2 linked regions of the Rattus norvegicus genome follow. The protein of the gene in region 1 interacts with the protein of each later gene in a pairwise test. Links are inferred from orthologs where the notes say so. Each region holds a gene or a part of one and is shown in the gene's direction. Other genes may lie near its edges.

Region 1 (5,724 bases):
TGTCCACAATAGGACTCAGACCTACGCTGGGGGTTGAGTAAATGAATACTGTGAACTAGGCAAAGTATTGCTCCGTCTCTGCGCATGCGCAGACAGGGCCAGACCTTACGCTTAGTGGTGTTTTGAGTGAGTGGAACAAAGTTAATCACCTTAGACTCACCTTGGAGTGAAGGGGAGAGATATACTAAAAAACAAAACACTTGTCTGTTCATTCTCTTGCGGGTTTCCCAGGGCAGGCTCCAAACCATCCCTAACCTTTTCCCACAGTCCTCCAGGAAAAGTCCCTCTCTGCCCTCTTTGCTCCCGTAGGTAGCTCTGATCCTGGAGTGTGGTGTGGAGTCAAAAGATGGGTGTGAGGAAAAGAGGAAGGATGGGGAATGTTCCAGAAATCAGGCTCCTCCACACCTGCCGCGGAACCTTCCTCCTCCACTGGCCTCGCTGTGGCTGTCTTTGTCACTCCTCAACTCCCACTGACTTTCCATCACCCTTGTCCGAGTTTGGCTGACCCAAGCCGGCAGCTCCTCCCTGTCCCCACCTCCCAGCTTCTTCACCTCAGAGTCTCTTAGAAAGAAACCTGGACTCTTCCCCCTGTCCAGCAGGTCCTGTTGACTTTGAAATGAAACAATTCCAGTTGCCTCATAAAAATAATCATAATAAAATAAAATACAGGCTTTCTCAGCCACCGACTTTATGTGTGCCTCGCTGAGCCTGAGTTCCTGATCCCTTAGCTTCCGCTCAGTTGGGTAACTCAGCAGCCCCTATCAGTAGCTTCCTGGGTGTGGTTCTCATGCCTGAAGGTGCCCGGAGCACCCTGGAGACACGAGGAAGCTCAGACCTCTGGGCTCCTACCCATGGATACGCAGCAGCAGATCTGGGGAGTAAACCTTGGAAACCACCTCAGTTTCCAGGGAGGCTGAGGCTGCCGCCCCTGTGTCAAGGACCGCACCTTGGCTACAGCAGGTCTCTGGAGGGGTGTGTGTGTGTGTGTGTGTGTGTGTACGCATTCCAGAGGAGGGGGGAGAGAGGTGTCCTTGGAGACAATCCTTCTGCTATGTTCACTCGGCAATGCCCTCCCACCAGGTCCAGCCGCAGGTTGTTCTTCAGAGACAGGGTCCCAAGGGGACGGGAGATGAGAAAAACAAAGAGGGCAAAGCCGAGGCCAGAAGATCACACTCAAGCTGGTGGTTAATGCTAAGTGAGTTTATTAAGAAGTACGGCTTCTTCTATCCAGCTTACAGGGGAAAGGGGCAGAGTCAACAGAAGGCTGTCACGTAATGGGATGAGGTCAGCAGGAAGCTCTCGGAGCAGTGACGCACAAAGAGAACGTGGGACATCGAGAGTGCATTGCAGATTAAGCACATGGTAGCCTGGAGCCTCTAGATGGATAGCTCTGGTCTCTCAGGATAGATTCCCAGAAACTGAAACCTAAACTCTCTGGAGACCCTGCCCTCGTCCCAGACACACCTTCTTGCCAAGGCAAAGACTCAGGAAAAGACTCGGAACTAACCTTCCCTTTGCATCTCTGTCTCTGTCTCTGTCTCTGTCTCTGTCTCTCTCTGTCTCTCTGTCGTCTCTCTCTCTCATCTCTCTCTCTCTCTCTCTCTCTCTCTCTCTCTCTCTCTCTCTCTCTCTCTCTCTCTCTCCTCCTTCAAACGTTTCCCACCCCACACACCTCCCACATCCACAGACAGGGTTTCTCTGTCTTGGAGCTAGCTACCTCTGTAGACCAGGCTGGCCTCAAACTCAGAGATCCACCTGCCTCTGCCTCCGGAGTGCTAGCATTAATGGACTGCACCACCACAGCCCAACCCAACTCCTGTTGCATTTTAAAGTGTATCTCTCCCCTGATCCAGTTGCTTTGTATGAGGATGAGCCTGGAGAAGATCTGCTGTTCCTACGGGTGGTGGTGGTGGTGACGCCTTTAATCCCAACAGTTGAGGCAGAGGCAGGCAGATCTCTGTGAATTACAGGTCAGGTCAGCCTGGTCTACTGAGTGAGTTCCGGGCCCTGCCTGGCTACACAGAGACCCTGTCTGTGTCTGTCTGTGTCTGTCTGTGTCTGTCTCTCTCACACACGTACAGGCACACGCACGCACACACACACACACACACACACACACACACACACAAACACACACACACACACAGAGAACATTTGCTTTGCCAGAACTCCAGAAATCTGTGTGATTTTGTTTCAGTTGTTGTTATATTTGTGGGGTCTTTATTTGTGGGGGGAAGGGGTACTGCCATCTCTCTAGCCCCCTGTGTGTGATGCCCCTTGGCATGCCCACTGGTGATGGTCCCCTGTGTGCACACTGCTCTACGGGTGTGTGGAAGGTGCCTTTGACATCCACCTCCCTCTGCAGTCTCTCTGGTCCGAGTGTAAGGCCTCCAGTCAAGAGGACTGCCATTCTGTGCTCTCAGTCCCTCCTGGCAACGTTACCAGATTCACTCTCTGGCCAGGGCAAGCCCAGTGCTGGCCTGCATTTCCTCCTGCTGGGAAAAGGATGTCTGGGGCCAACATGGCGGTGGGCCATCTCATCATGGGTGCCTCAGCCTGCCTCTGTCGCTTCACAGCTCTGCTCCAAGGGGCTCCACGTCCTTCAGCATCACAGCCTCCCCAGAAGTTGTTGTAGATGTCATCCATGGTCCTCCATCCAAGAAGAGTACCACGGGGGCCTCCAAATGGCCTCTGGACCCCAAGCTGGAGGTGACCCTACAGATGAAAGCAGCCAGCAGTAGGATAGATGACCAGAAGGTGAGTATGGTGGGTGGGGTGGGATGGGGCCTGGTGGGTGGGGTGAAACCGAAAGCTGGGGTGGGGGTGGGGCTGCATCCCCTTGAACATTCCGCAGTGTGTCCCCTCAGACTCTTCTCAGTGTGTCCCCTCAGACTCTTCTCAGTGTGGTGTCCCCCTCAGACTCTCCTCAGTGTGTCCTCTCAGACTCTCCTCAGTGTGTTCCCCTCAGACCCTCAATGTGTCCCCTCAGACTCTCCTCAGTGTGTCCCCTCAGACTCTCCTCAGTGTATCCCCTCAGACTCTCCTCAGTGTATCCCCTTAGAATCTCCTCAGTGTGTCCCCTCAGACCCTCAATGTGTCCCCTCAGACTCTCCTCAGTGTATCCCCTCAGACTCTTCTCAGTGTGTCCCTTCAGACTCTCCTCAGTGTGTCCCCTCAGACTCTCCTCAGTGTGTCCCCTCAGACTCTCCTCAGTGTGTCCCCTCAGACACTCCTCAGTATGTTCCTTTAGACACTCCTTAGTGTGTCCCCTCAGCATGTCACCGCAGGCTCCTTTCCTTGTACCTCTTTGGCTTCTTTTGGTGTCTCCAGCTCATGTCACTTAAGCTTCTGGCTCCCAATGCCTCACCTCCCCGGCAGCTGAGTCAATCAGACACCCCTCTCTAGGTTTCTAGTTACTTATTTATTTCAATTATTGCTGGGCAGAGGGACTGAATGAGCCCAGAGCTTCACATCCTATATCTCTGAGGTACACCTGACTCCCCCAACTCCCTTCCCCAGCCTGCACAGAGAGCTCATGCTATACAGCTGAGGGCCTGCTCCTGGGTCCCCGAGAGACAACTCGAAGTCCAGCTCCACGGCTATCACCTGCTCTTTCTTCCTCCTAATGCCTCTTGTACCCCATTTCCAGCTGTTAAGCCCCTGCCCCCTTCCAAGAATGTCTCAAGATACAACTTGTTAGCGTTACTGTTGCTGTGATGAACCATCGTGACCAAAAGCACATTGTGGAGGAAAGGGTCTGTTTGGCTTCCATTTCCATGTTGCTGTTCATCATGGAAGGAAGTCAGGACAGGAACTCACACAGGGTGGGGACCTGGAGGCAGGAACTGATACAGAGTCATGGAGGGATGCTGCTTACTGGCTTGCTCCTCACGGCTCCTCAGCCTGCTTTCTTATAGAACCCAGGACCCCTAGCCCAGGGATGGCACCACCTGAAAGATCCCACGCAAAGAGACCCTTACTCAAGTCTTGGGAAATCGCAGACCCCAGACACAGAGAGACCATTTTGGATATAATAAACAAAGGCGAGGTTTATTACGGAGACCTATTACAGAGATCTCCGGGCCGACACGTATCCCGCGCAGGAGACAGAGGTGTCGGCCCCGAGAGGCTGGGAAAAAGAGTATTTAAAGGCAGAGGCTGTGAGCACCAGGGGATGGGGTATGTCAAAGGGGAATGTACCACAAGTTACAAGATTGTTTTATGGCTCCAGGAGATAAGGGGACGCCAGAAGGTTTTATGGCCCCCTGGTTCCTGGAACAGAGCTACTAAATCAGGAGAAGGGTAGGGTCTTCAGGTCTTCATTATTTTTAAACGTTTGTCAAAACTGATGGAGCATTTGTATTTGAAACACCTCTGGTTAGGCTTGGGCTGCCCGGTTTCTTGGAGTGCTCTCTGCAGGACACAATGGCTGAAAAGCACAAGTAGGGGCTTATCAGGGTCTGGAGGACATCTGGTTAAAGTATGACTCTGAGTAAGCTGGGGGGACGTCTTTGGATGGTTTATGGGTCAGTCCTCGATAGCCTGAGCTGGATCCTGCATTCCTTTTCTTTATCTTTATGGCCTGCTATTCCTGGCGGCAGGGCTTAGCCCTGAGTTTGTGGCTTTTGGGGCTAACTCTTTTAATTTTATATTTCTAAACCTAGAATTTGTATAATTTTCTTTTCATTCCCGTCTTCTCCTACTAAATAATTCTAATCTTAGAATTTTGATATCAAGTCTTATTTGGTCTCACCAGTTGTCCTAACTGACTGGTACTGTTGTCTCACAACCATCAACCGCACAGCACCCACTCAATTTTTAACAAAAGCAATTAACCTGTTTGTCACGCAGGAGCCAAAGACTAAAACCAAGAAAATTATTAATAATGGCCCAGCTGTAGCAGAGAGTAGGGTAGTCATCTAGGGAGATCTACTAAACTAGCTCTCGAACCATCTCTGATGTGTTTTTCTGTCTGTCTTTTGTCTAACCTTTTTCTAAGTTTATTTATGGAGTCTTTAATTACTCCTGAATGGTCTGTATAGAAGCAACATTCTTTCAGTGTAGCACACAGACTCCTTCTTTAAGGAATATCAGGTCTAATCTTTTCTTATTTTGAAGGACTACCTCTGAGAGGGAGGTTAGGTATTCTTGGAGGTCAGCTAAAAAGTCTTTAGCATCAGGATTTTATCTGGACACTATCTAAACCTATATACCAAGGTCATGACTGTCTTTCAGAACTTCTAAACTTATATAGGTTGTGATCCCTGAGGCACAGTCCCAAGAAGTGTTAGGAGTATTAACATATGTAATGTTACATCATTTGTAATAGAAATCAAGCCTATCCCACACCTATCTTGATAGAACCCAGGACAAACATGACTGAATTTCTCTCTAGGTCCCAGCTCTCAGCCCTAACAGCTAGTACACGGCTGGTGAGGGCTGAGAATTGACGGCTGTCAGGGTGGTCAGCAGCACCAGGTATGGTCCTTTCCAGCGAGGATCGAGTGTCTGGGCTCAGTGTAGCTGCTTCCGACCTGGAACTGATGGGATGTCTCAGGGGTCTCCGGGGCATAGGCTGCTGTCAGCTGTGAGCAGATTTCTTTCTGTATCACCTGTAGGTCTTTTAGCCTGGCACACAAATCATTATTACTATGACATGTTGGTTCAGTAACATCATCTAATACAGTCAGGGGAGCTGAGGCCCCATATAAGATCTCAAAGGGG
Region 2 (6,200 bases), on another chromosome or scaffold:
TGTGCTCTCTCATGTACCATACCTATAATAAACTTTCCCCTCCACCATACCTAGGAGCAGTCATGCTCTTTCCTTATTTCCTTTCCTTTCCCCTTTTCTCTTTTTCATTCATCTGGTACTGAAACCTGGGAGTGGCATAAATGAGTCATCCACTTCCCCCCCCCCAGCACCCCCCCCTAAGGAACTTCTCCCAACCAAGCTGCTGATCTGACTCTCCTAAGGTATGCCATCCAGGAGGGCCCTGACACAGGTAGGGACTGGGGGGGGGGGTGATGCAAGGAGAGCCTGGCAGCCAGCACCTGCATTGATATGTTAAGTAACTCAGCCATTTGTTCTGGGTTTGAAATCTAACAAATATATGTATTTATTTGGGTATTTTACAAGAATGTGTTTGGGTGTTTTATCTTTATGTTCGCATGTCTGTGCACCACTTGCATGCCTGATGCCCAGAGGCCAGAGGAGATTGTTGGATCATTTGGAACTGGAGTTAAAGATGGTTGGGAACTACCATACTGGTGCTGGGAATTGAACCTCGCTCCTCTGGAAGAGCACTCTCTACTCTTTTCTTATTTATAAAAAAATATATATATTGTTTTATTTTATGTATCCGAGTGTTTTGTCTGCAAATATTTGGGTACATCATGTGTGCCTGGTGGTGCCTCGTTTTGATCTCTTTAGTATGAAGTCCTCTCTGAGTCCTTAAGTTGAACAACTCTATTAATTGTTTTAATGCTCAGGGTTAAATTAGGTTCCCCAGAAGTAAAACAGGATGTAGTTAGTGCTCTCCTGGGCATTCTTAGGAGAGCCTGCAGGGTGTTGGAAGAAGTCATATGTTGCCTGTCGCCTGTCACCTGTCACCTGTCACCTGTCACCTGTCACCTGTCGGAGCTCAGAAGGAGGCAAGGCTCCTCCCTCCCCTGATCCCAGATCCCAAACCCCGTATGAGCCTGGGCCAGATGGAGTCCTGGCCTCTTGTGTCCCATAAAGGACTCAGTTGGGGACTAGAGAGATGGTTGGGCACTGACTTCTCCCAAAAGATGGGCCTTCAATTCTTAGCAGTCAAGGGATCCTATGCTGGCATGCAGACATACATGAAGACAAATCCATACACATGAAATAAATAAATTGCATACATATACAGTATATATACATATATGTTGCCTGTGGCCTGGTTGCACTTGCTATGTAAATCAGCTTAGCTGTAGGCTAACTGCAATTGCTAGACACTAACCCTTATCCACTCTGCCTCTCCTGCACCCAATTATTTTTAAAAGGAGGCAACAGTCTCCAATCTTCAGAAATAAAGTGTCGTTATTTTGTCCTTTCTTTTACCTTGATTAATTTTGTCTCCTCCCCTTGTGGTAGCTTAGAAACATTTAGGCTTCCAACCATGAAAGGATAGGTACAAGTCTAGATCAGCCTTCCTCCTCCTGATCCTCCAGCTATTAACCACACAGTAACCCACCTCCTCTAGCTACAGTTACTGATATAATTTAAAATAATGACCACATAGGTTTTGGTTGGCTGGAGAGCCAACATTGCCCACAGCGACCCATTCTTTGTTAAGTGAAATTGGAGGTTGCCTGTAGAGCCTCTGTTGCCTGCACCTGCCTCTGCTCATCAAGCGGTCATTGTACTTGCCGCGAGACGCATGTGTCCAGCAAGCAGCCAGAACCAGGCTGGCGAGCAACCAAGCAATGCTTCAATGGGAAGTTCAATGGGAAACTGGGAGTTGTTCCTAACCCCATTTCCCAAAGGTGACCTGTATTGCATCTGTCTTCTCTAAGGGAGGCATGGAACTACCAAGAATTTTCTGGAACGTATGTGGTAATGTGAAAAAAGGACATGAAATGTACCCTCGGATGTCATGTTCTGCTTTTCCAGTACACTCTAGACTGGCCTGGGCGCCTGGCTGGAGCCCCCGAGTGCGATGTGCGATCCCTGCAGGACCTGAGCCCGTGACCTTGGGATCGAGAACCACAGTGGAGTTTGGTTGTAAAAGGGTCAATCTTGAGTGGGGTTTGGCGGTGCAGTCTCAGGGTCCTTTGTGGGGTCGCTGTCCTTAGTGGGGTGGAAGGCCGAATGCGTGATCTGCCTCAGGCGTCTCCTGGTGCCGGAGAGGCGATTCCCCTGCCCCTCCAGCTGCGCTTCGCTTGGGAGGGACTTTCCCGTGGGCAAAGGGACAACCAGGAACTTGGGCTCAGTCTCCACCCCGAGACGGGGCGGGTCCTATTGGCCGGGACGAGGGTGTGGTCGCAGTCGTAGACTCAGCCTGTCTCCGCAGGAGAGGTAAGGGGCTTAGGCAGTGGTCCAAACCTCCGCTGCGAGCTCTGGGCTCTGGGCTCTGGGTGTGGGTCTTAGATTCCAGGCGGGTGTCCTAGGCTCCGACCTAGAGATCTAGACTTTATTTGGGGAATCCTGGGCTCGGCTACAGCTCCTAGGCTGGGGCCTGGAAACCTGAACTTAACCCGTGGATGTTGGGCTGGGCTGCCGGTCCTGGGCTCAGGCTTGGAAATCTTGGGCTCCCGCCGGGTGTCCTAAGCTGTGGCTAGGGATCTTGGACTCAGGGACCAGGTGCCGCGACCAGAGGCGGTTCTGTGGGCCACTTGGCGCCGCGCCCTGGAAACGTGAGGTCCGGGCCGAAGCAGCCACCTGGGAAATGTGGGAAGGAACAGGCAGTGCCGCACCGCACCGTGCACAGCACTCCTGCAGTCCTTTGCTGAGTCAAAGCCCCCGGGACTCCACACTGAGGATAAGCCACTGAGTTAACATTCTCTGAAGCTCACTCCAGCACGACTTGTGCTATCTTTTCTTTTTGCAAGTAAGTTTGCTTTCTCTTATTCTTAGGTCCTTCCTCGCCCCTCTTGTAGCAAACGGTTGTAGCAAATGGTCTTGGCGCAGTGCCTGGCACCCAGGAATCATCTTATTCTTAAGTTTTTCATTCTGTGTCTGCCTGTGTCTAATTTCTAACTCAGTCCTCAGTGCCTTGACCAGTCGGGGACTTCGGGGACTTCGGTGCCTAAAACAATTGGCAGCTTAACACTCTCCTGGCTCAGTGTGCACCCCAAGTGTATGAATGGAGGAGCACTCTGGGCCCTGAGCAACTGCGCCTTTCGTTAAGACTGGGCACTTGGGGCTGGGGATTTAGCTCAGTGGTAGAGCGCTTACCTAGGAAGCGCAAGGCCCTGGGTTCGGTCCCCAGCTCCGAAAAAAAAGAACCAAAAAAAAAAAAAAAAAAAAAAAAAAAAGACTGGGCACTTTAGCTGATGGTGGAAGGGTAGATAGGATGGCTGGTTGTTATCTATCCCGCTGCCCATCATTCCCAGACACCCTGCTTTCTTAGGCAGGAAGTAACTCTACAAATGGCTGTGAATCCCTAGGGAACAGAGGAAAGAAGAATGAGGAGGACCAGGCATATACTTCAGTTGGACAGCGTGCCCCTAGCATACCAGAAGCCTTGCATTTTATCCTTGGCTCCAAATAAACCAGGTGTACCTTTGCTTTTGAGGAAAGTTTGAGGAAAATGACAACCAAACCCAAGCAACACCCTTCTGAAAGCTTCCTGTTTAGATTTAAAAGGAATAGGATCCCAGTTCTTCAGGGCAATTGGTAGTTCAGGGTAATATTGGAGGCTAGTCTGGACTGCATGAAATCCGGCCTTCAAAAAAAGAAAGAACGAACCAACAAAACCCAAAACCAACATAAGGGTAGGTAGGGGCCGGAGGGCTGGGTGGTTAAGAGCTCTTGCTGCTCTCCCAGAGGACTGCATTTGAATTCCTAGCACCCACTTCAGATGGCTCACAACTGCCTGAAGCTCCAGATCCCATGTGTCTGATACCTACTATGGACTTGGAGAAAACACACACACAAACACACACACACAGACACACAGACACACAGACACACACACACACACAGAGACCCCCCACACACACAGACACACACCCTCACAGACCCACACACAGACACACACACATACACACACACAGACACACACACACACAGACCCACAGACCCACACACATACACACACACAGACACACACCCTCACAGACCCACACACAGACCCACAGACCCACACACATACACACACACAGACACACACCCTCACAGACCCCCCACACACACAGACACACACACACCCACAAACCCACACACATACACACACACACCCTCACAGACCCACACACACACACTCACAGACCCACACACACACACACACAGACCCACACACATACACACACACAGACATACACCCTCACAGACCCACATACACACACACTCACAGACCCACAACACACCCACCTACCCACACACTCACACACACACACTCACAGACACACACACACACAGACCCACACAGACCCACACACTCACACACACACACACTCACAGACCCACACACACACGCACATACACACACAAGTCATTAACTAAATGCTTTTGTAAAGAGCAACCAAGAGAGCTTGGGGAGCTAGATTGGGAAGCGATAACCACGGCCACCTGAGAGCCACTGACTTCAGTGATGGCTATCTTGCCAAAGCCAGTCAGATCAGGTTTCTGTTGATTTTCTCTAGTACCCAGTGGTACTAGAGACGCACAGCTATTACAGCAAAGGCAATGATTTCCTCCTACTGGAGTCTTTGCTTTGGTCAGGGACCATTTTCTTTTTCTGTGAAAGTAGTCTGGAGAGTACCATTCAGGGTCAGTCTGTGCCTGACACCCATCAGTATTCACAGGGTAAGCCTCTTGGTCCTCCCTCCAGCCAACAGCACCCACAGGGTGAGCCTCTTTTTTGGTCCTCTATCCCTGCATCCCAGGACACATTGCTTTGTTTGTGACTAGCCATTCCTTTCTTTTCCTGATCTTGCGTGCATGGTTACAGGCTCCTCTCCAAGGGAGATCAAGGTAAGGATCTGCGCACTGGAGATGGGTCACATGTCAAGGAGTGAGGGAAGCTACAGCGTGAATAAGCAGATTTCCCTTAAGTGCCAATCTCATCCAATTGTTTGATTAAAACCATGTTTCACATTTAAACAGTCAGAGAATTTGGGGGTGAGCCCTCAAATTATATTCTTTAGTTTATCTTTGATTTTTGAAATAGGGTCTAACATGTAGCCCAGGCTGGCCTCAAACTTTCAGTGTAGCCAAGGCTGTACTTGAACTCCTGACCCTATTGTCTCTGCTCCTGAATGCTGGGATTATAGATATACACAACCATACCTAAGCTTACGGAGGGCTGAGGATCCAACCTGAGGCCTTGTGCAGGCGAGGCAAGCACTCTACCACCTGAGATACATCTCCAGTCACCAAAATGATGAACCTCTCAAATCTAAAGTAGGAAGCTTTCAAAAAGTGTTGCTTGGGTTTGGGGCTGCCATTTTCCCCAAACCAAGCCCTTAGTGGTTTGTTCTCTCTCTCTCTCTCTCTCTCTCTCTCTCTCTCTCTCTCTCTCTCTCAGAGATTTATTTACTTTATTTATATGAATACACTATAGCTATCTTCGGTCAACCCAGAAGAGGGCATCAGATCCCAATACAGATGGTGTCACCATGTGGTTGCTGGGATTTGAACTCAGGACCTCTGGAAGGGCGGTCAGTTCTCTTAACCACTGAGCCATCTCTCCAGCCCCCACTGCTCTCTTGCAGTTAGAGCATGGAGGAAGTTTAACAGGCACCTCAATGGACTCCGTATAGTGTCTTTGAGTAGTGGTCAGCCTAGGCTCATTGTTCTAATTCCCCTCAGCCTGAGATGGGCTTGTGACCTGGAACAGGTGAAGAAACAAGGCTTCAAGTGCTGGCCCTCCAGTGGGTTGGGGCTTGTAAGGCGAGGCTCAAGTTCAGCTGAGACTCTGGCCTCGGTTCACAGTGAGCAGTGGATTCCTGGCTTCTTAACTGAGTCTTATCTGTTTTTTCCTTTTCTGCATCAATGCTCTCCTTGGCTAGGTGCCAAGTGAAATATAGTTGCCCCAACTAGAGCCTGGGTGGGAATGTTGGTAGATTGTTTGCCTAAGATCACAAGGCCAATGGTTCAATCCCCTGCACTGCAGTCCCCTATCTCAACAGAAACCCGAAGCTTTTTGACCAGAAAAGGGAAGCTGCAGTGTGAGGGGGTGGTGGTGGTGGTGGGGTGAATCAGTGGCTCTTAAATTCTCAAAGAGCTTGGCATGTGGGCTTGGGAATGATTAATTCCTTATGATA

What was found.
Region 2: the proteins of Padi4 (region 1) and Anxa4 interact in binary tests that used the Homo sapiens proteins (3 or more experiments, as listed by UniProt). The two-hybrid records come from large-scale screens. The link is inferred for Rattus norvegicus from reciprocal best matches to the Homo sapiens genes PADI4 and ANXA4.

Annotation. Positions count from the first base shown.
Region 1 is NC_086023.1:158,349,803-158,355,526, reverse strand, and holds part of Padi4 (protein-arginine deiminase type-4), read left to right. Parts: intron 1-772; exon of another isoform or gene 773-787; coding exon of another isoform or gene 788-960; intron 961-2,576; coding exon 2,577-2,757; intron 2,758-5,724. UniProt on the Homo sapiens protein: Catalyzes the citrullination/deimination of arginine residues of proteins such as histones, thereby playing a key role in histone code and regulation of stem cell maintenance.
Region 2 is NC_086022.1:120,794,556-120,800,755, reverse strand, and holds the start of Anxa4 (annexin A4), read left to right. Parts: upstream 1-2,242; 5' UTR 2,243-2,289; exon of another isoform or gene 2,290-2,821; intron 2,822-6,200. UniProt on the Homo sapiens protein: Calcium/phospholipid-binding protein which promotes membrane fusion and is involved in exocytosis.